Macaca fascicularis: one gene and its partner. The protein of the gene in region 2 interacts with the protein of the main gene of each other region in a biochemical or structural test. Links are inferred from orthologs where the notes say so. Each region holds a gene or a part of one and is shown on either strand. Other genes may lie near its edges.

Evidence for each region.
Region 1: the proteins of HLTF (region 2) and UBE2V2 form a complex in vitro, tested with the Homo sapiens proteins (2 studies listed by BioGRID). The link is inferred for Macaca fascicularis from reciprocal best matches to the Homo sapiens genes HLTF and UBE2V2.

The regions. Positions count from the first base shown.
Region 1 is NC_088382.1:57,952,392-57,955,317, reverse strand, and holds the end of UBE2V2 (ubiquitin-conjugating enzyme E2 variant 2), read right to left. Parts: intron 1,490-2,926; coding exon 1,343-1,489; 3' UTR 597-1,342; downstream 1-596. UniProt on the Homo sapiens protein: Has no ubiquitin ligase activity on its own. The UBE2V2/UBE2N heterodimer catalyzes the synthesis of non-canonical poly-ubiquitin chains that are linked through 'Lys-63'. This type of poly-ubiquitination does not lead to protein degradation by the proteasome.
Region 2 is NC_088376.1:51,844,715-51,848,959, forward strand, and holds the end of HLTF (helicase-like transcription factor), read right to left. Parts: intron 2,839-4,245; coding exon 2,686-2,838; 3' UTR 596-2,685; downstream 1-595. UniProt on the Homo sapiens protein: Has both helicase and E3 ubiquitin ligase activities. Possesses intrinsic ATP-dependent nucleosome-remodeling activity; This activity may be required for transcriptional activation or repression of specific target promoters.

The DNA of each region.
Region 1 (2,926 bases), on a different chromosome or scaffold from region 2:
GAATTCATCAAACAGCATTTTCAACAAAGCTTTGTATCCAGTACTTTGAAGTGAAATAGTGACCTAACGCCTCATGTCACTTTGGTAAAAGCAGAACATAAATGAATTTTCAACTTCAGAGTTCATATTTGTCAGAGTAGAGAACAGTGGAATGAATAAAGTTATCCTTGTTAGTATTAAAAGCCCTAACTGGAAGATAAAAGTCTCCAATTAGTTCACCCTATTTATTAACCAAAAGCTTCACAGAAAAACAACTAAAAAAGATGTTATGATTTTAAAAATGGGATATGTATTTGGATAATTTGCAACCTATAATCCTAAAAGAATTGCTAGACTGCAAAGATATTTTTAATAATATTATTTCTGGTGAAATCAAACTCAAAATATAATACCTAGGACTCCTCCTTGTCCAAAGAAGAAATTAAACTAGGTAATTTCTTTTCTGAAATAGTCTGCACATTATAATTCACAAGAAGTACACAAAATAGGGTAAATAAAAGTGTGTATACAGGAAAAGCTACATAATTCCAATTTTTGCTTCCCTAGCATGGTACTGTACATATACTACATCAACATAATAGAAATGGCACAGTCTCTGAGGACACGTTCCACATTTTATTTACATTTTAAGACTAACTTTAATCTCCAAATCACATATCCATACACCTATTTCCGTTTTGTTGACTTCACTTAAACTTAAATGCATGGTTAAACAAAGACTGTAAACAAATATTTACCATGTCTGTTACATGTAACACACAAGAACAGCTTTTAACAGAAATTCATCAACTTCCCCCAACATTTTTTATTATAAATACAGGTATCAAAACAATCCTGAACATATTTTTGATACTACTAGTAGTCAGCACCCACACCGCTTCAAAAATTAACACATCTGTGACAATATTCGTTGTACCTGCTACTTTTTAAACAATTTCAACTGCAGCTCTCTTTCACTAAGCAAGATGGGTAAAGCATGCCATTTCTGTTTTCTTTCTTGAGATTTTCACTTTTTAGAAACACACATGCTTCCACTGCCATCTGACACTTCTCCACACGCTTTCATCTTGTAAACCTGAATTCTACTTTGAGTACTCCAGGTTTATGTTTAAATGACAGTGCCTTAACAAGAGAAAAAAAATTGTGCTGCATTTTTCCTCCTGTTACCTGAAAACATAATGGGTGTACATGTATTAAATATATTCTTACAAATGTCCAGGTCATGTTTACCAGCTGGAATTCTTTTACTTAATGTGTGGGTATTTTTCATTGTGATATTTAATCAAGACATTAACATGAGTAGAAGGTTGTTGATTTAAGACAAGTTTGAGATCCACTAAAATTAATTGTTGTATGTTTGTCCTTCTGGTGGCTGTGGAAGCTTCATATTTTCTTTGGACATCATTAGACGTCTTAGCTCTTGAAGTACAACTTTAATGCTATATGAATTTTGCCATTTTGCTAACACTGGTATGCTCCGGGCATCCACCTGAAAGGGGAGGAAAAAGTACAGTTAACTAGCAAGTTTAAAGTACTATGGCATCAATTTGTTAAGTGTATTTTAATAAGAATGATTTTGAAAATTCATAGCTTGCCTCTATTTTCACAAAACATACACTATGAAATTACTAATACCATAATTAGTATATTTTATCATAATTAGTGTAATATCTTGGGAAAATATAAAGATATAAAACATATAGTGAACTTTGGTCATCAGAAATAAATGTTATATTAAATAACTACTTTGTAAATAAATTTACCAATTCCTTCTTAATGGAGTAAGGTCAAAAAGTTCCTCTCCATTTCCAATGGCACTACCCAAAATCTGGGGAATTATCTCACACTGAGATTTAGACGAAAGCTACTAAGCTGATCTCTGCTTTCAGATTTTTCTTTCCAATGTATTCTATGCACTATTCCTAATTTTTTTTTTTTTTTTTTGAGAGAGAGTCTCACTCTGTCACCCAGGTTGGAGTACAGTGACATGATCCCAGTTCACTGCAACTTCCGCCTCCCAGGTTCAAGCAATTCTCCTGCCTCAGCCTCCCAAGTAGCTGGGATTACAGGCACCCGCCACCACGCCTGGCTAATTTTTCTATTTTTCATACAGACGGGGTTTCGCCATGTTGCCCAGACTGGTCTCGAACTCCTGAGCTCAAGTGATCCACCTGCCTCAGCCTCCCAAAGTGTTGGGATTACAGGCATGAGCCACCGCACCCAACCCAAATCAATCTTCTGTGAAAGAGCAACAGAATGGGGATGGAGCTCCTTGCAAGCCCATTCAGTTAACTGTCAGCATTTGACCTGTCCTGCAGTTCCCTGGAAAACTCCACTCACAGAGCTTTCCTTTATCTGACCTCAGAGCTCACCTATCTTCAGTCACCTCCTACGTTGGGCATTTGTCAAAAAAAGCTGAGTCAAACAGGAAGGTGGGCCAGATGTGGTGGCTCACACCTGTAATCCCAACATTTTGGGAGGCCAAGGCGGGTGGATCACAAGGGCAGGAGTTTGAGACCAGGGTGGCCAACATAGATAGTGAAACCCCGCCTCTACTAAAAATACAAAAATTAGCCGGGTGTGGTGGCACATGCCTGTACTCCCAGCTCCTTGGGAGGCTGAGGCAGGAGAATCACTTCAACCTGGGAGGTGGAGGCTTCAGTGAGCCAAGACTGCGCCATTGCACTCCAGCCTGGGCGACAGAGTGAGACTCTGTCTAAAAAAAAAAAAACACCGGAAGGTAACCAAAATACTTAAGCAGACAAGCTGGGAAATGAGGTGTCTATAGAGGTGTTGAAAAGCCCCAAAACAGGCCTGGGAATCCAGAAGACCACACACATGTGTAGGGCTATGCACCGGCTTATGAAAGAGCTGAGAAGGCCATAAGCTGTCATCTACAGCTGACCTCAAGCAACATATAAGACTA
Region 2 (4,245 bases):
TTGCAGATATTTTGAAGTTAATGTGTTAAAAACTTGAGGTTAAACATTTGAGTTGTTATAAGCCAAACATCAAATGTGCCCTTATATTTTTAATGAAGCTCATCCAAATGCTAATGCATAAATCTTGGCAAGTACTATAAATAAAACAAGAAAAAAATACAGCAATGTATTTGCCATTCCCCAAAACAGCACACACTGCCGAAGATAATTTCATTAGTACTCACTGGTAACAAACTGCATGTGGTTAGTTTCTGTTTCCAATTCTAGAGCTGTAATTTTAAGGACAAAATATACAGTGATTCAGAGTGCTATCTGTGTGTATATAGGTATTATCACAACTCCTTTTTTTCTTCCAGATGAGGAAATTAATTGGGACCAATGTTTTTAGATCAAGCCATTTTAAATAAGCACTCTGATTTCTGAACAAGAATTTCAGCCAGTTAAATTGAGTAAAATAAAGGTAGGATATGAGTACATTATTCTGTTACAGTAATCTTCGTGTACTCTCAATAAAAACGTAACACTTGCATAGAAAGGTCACTATTAATGAAGGATTTATTTTATTTGAAAATAAAGTCAAAATTATGGCACCAAGGAGGGTAATAAACATTTGAAATTTTTATTGATTTTTAAATTTAAAATCCAGTTTTAACCACAAAATTGTTTGAATCACAACTGGTAATACAATGTCTTCAATATTTTTCTAAAGTTATTTTTCTATGTAATAATAAAACAGCATAGCATAATAGGAAGTTTACGTTCCAGTGGCTTTTTTATATATTTATCCTTCTTAGGAAGGACAAATTAAATTTTTTTAATTAAACTTTTTAAAATTTAACAACATCTAACAGAACTGTACAAAACAAGACATTTTTTAAACAAATTGCCAAACTTATGAGTGTGTTTTAAAAACAACTTTGTAAATATCTGGGCAAAGAAGTAAGCTGTCCTCCCTTTACCTTCACAGTGAGTTTGTAAGGCTTTGTCTTTGTAAGCAGGAAGAGTAGATTGTGTTGTTTTTTGCCAAAAACTGTTTATACTTAATCTCACTGAAGTATTGCTATATGGAGAACCCATACTCTGATCAACTTGATTTTTTTGTGTGTAATGCTTGATCTACCAGGTAACTTCCCTACTGCTCCTAATGCCAGTGGGCTAATCCCAAATTATTATTCCACTATCATCCCTGTAGAAAGGTCTTGGTTTTGATGAAAATCAGCCCGTTCCTTACCTGCTACCGCCTCAAAAAGGGACCAGGAAGATTCTAGCTGGCTAATTCACTGTTCCCTTTGAGCAAAAAAACAGGGCACAGGGAGAAAAGGACTTAGATGGTGAGAGATTTGGCATATACCTTCAATGTGCGCCCTATAACACAACATTGTCTCTGATCTCATCTTTCTATCAAATCACTTCCAACACTCCAAGTAAAGTCTCAGGTATTCTTACATCTGTATCATCAAACATGAAGCTTCTCTTGTTAGAGTAATTAATCTTTGGATTAAAGTTTCCCTTTGAAATAAAACCACCTACCTAATCTGACTGCTAAATTTCTAGCTTGTTTGTTTTAAATATGCTCAGGAGTCAACCCAGAATTCTGCAGCAAATAAGTTTGCTTATTAACAAAAAAGTAAAAAAAAAAAAAAAAAAGATAGTCTCTACGGATAGATGTAAGGATGAATTACTTAAGTTCAAAATTAAATTCTGATTCTAAACACAACAATTTTTTACATTCAGGATTAAGATGTCTTTAAGAGTTGAAACGACTTTGGAGATCATCCAGCCCAACTTCCATCCAGATATCACGCCTCTCACATATAGTAGTCTTCTGAATTATAAAAATTTATAAAGTTACTTCCAAAAAAAGCTACATAAATAAAAATTACCTATTTATAGAAATATCTATTTAGCAGTTCCATAATTTAAAATATTCAAATCAAATTGGGTAGGATTGGTTTGCCTCTCACTCCCACAGACTATATTTACACCCTAGACACAGCAAGTTACATTTAAACAATGAGTGTAGTACTACTTAACTAAAATGGAAAAAATAGTACTCTTAACATAATCCCTAATTTTTTCATGAACATAAAACTCCAAGTCACGTATGTGAATTATATCTCAATGTAGCTGTAGGAAAAATAAAAACCTGTGCTAACCTGGACTTTGGTCTCATTTAAGATTTGGTTCTGGAATGCAAATACGGTTTTTGAAAGCCCAATAAAATTAATTCTTGTATGGTCTGTATATATTGTTTGCAAGGACTACAAACACTGCATCACAAATTGGAGGCTTTGGTAAATAACTAAGTGTCCAACATAGAAAATAACTATTTGGTCAAAAGTATAAAAGGTCTGACCTTATTTGAAATACGAAAAAGCTGAGTACTTGGAAGATATATGAAAATACTCAGCATAGATGCTATGAAAAGCTAAATAACAAAGTAACCTTTTTTCTCAAAAAATTATTTTAGGCCACAGTATATAAGAGAACTTATTGCTATTTGAAGTTTCATTAAAAATAGGTTCGTATATAGAAGAAATTGTGTCAGTAATACCTCTTCACTAATATAAAACAATATGCCCCTTTTAGAAGACATGTTCTCTAGATCTCATTTCTAAAACTGTATTTTTCTCATTTCTAAAACTTAAGTATCCAATCAAACTGACCTTACTAAAATCCCACAAATTATAAATCAATTAATGTTCTGATTTCATTAATTTTGGCTTGTTTCATTTCGTCAGCATTTGGTTTTTTAGTTCCAAAGGCTCCTGCTGCAAGTTCTCTCTTTTTGTTTTGTATTTTCAGCATATTTTCTTCAACAGAGTCCTTTACAATGAACTTTAAAAAGAAAAAAAAATGTTAAATTGGTTAAGTAGTTTTTAAGGCATAAAAAAACTAAATGAACAATTTGCCTAATGGCAAAAACCGCAATTGCTTTTGCACCAAACTATAATAACTCTTTAATAGAACTGAGTTTTGCTTTCTTTACCCAATATGGTTTTCTTATATAAAGAATATGGCTGTACGAATAGAAGTTACAGATCATGAGATAAGCAAAGCAAAAAAGAAAGGATAAAAAAAGCAAACTATATAGGCAACTCTGGAAAAATGACTTCAGCATTATATTAAAAAGGCCACTCTGGCCGGGCGCAGTGGCTCACACCTGTAATCCCAGCACTTTGGGAGGTCAAGGTGGGTGGATCATGAGGTCAGGAGATCGAGACCATCCTGCCTAACACAGTGAAACCCCGTCTCTACTAAAAAACAGAAAAAATTAGCTGGGCGTGGAGGAGGGCGCCTGTAGTCCCAGCTACTTGGGAGGCTGAGGCAGGAGAATGGTGTGAACCCGGAAGGTGGAGCTTGCAGTGAGCTGAGATCACACCACTGTACTCCAGCCTGGGTGACAGAGCGAGACTCCATCTCAAAAAAAAAAAAAAAAAGCCACTTCCAGAAATTCAAGAATGAATCTTTAGTATAATTCATAACACTAACAAAGAGAAAAATAAAACATGATCATCTCATTCCTGATAAAAACTTGATTTTAAAATACTCTAACTACGAATGAATGTCTCAACCTTACATATTTAATGTGAAACAATAAAAGTATTCTCAACAAAACAGAAACAAGTGAAGAATGGTCACTATCTGCTACTATTTAACATTATTTAAGAAGTCCCAATTACTGCCGTAACTAAAGTTATATAATAAAATTTTACTGAAATACATAAAAGATCTACATAAATGGAGAAGAGATACTATGTTCCTGTATAGAAACATTCCTTATTTATAAAGAAAGATAGTTCTCAAAAGTAATAATAAATTCAATAAATCTCAAACAAGATATCTTAAATGGGATTTTATAACCAAAATCTAAAGTTCAATTCAAGAGTAATAATAATAACCACCAATACAATTTTCAAAAAGGGTAATCAGAATATTTTACCCTATCAGATATCAAAACTTACTTTAGGAAACCATAGTTGTGATAAGAGTAATACTGCCCTAAGAAAAGGAAAAGAGATCAACAGAATAGAATAGTCTAGAAAAAGACCCAAGTAATATATATAAATTAGTTTATGATAAAAGTGACATTTCACACTAGTAGGGAAAAAGTTGGAATTTTCAAATAAAAAAATGATATGATGTGACAGAACAAATTGTTCTTCATCTGATCAAAGAATAAGCTTAGACTCATGTCACAAATCATAAAACAAAAAATAAAACCTTCCAAAAGAACCATAAGTA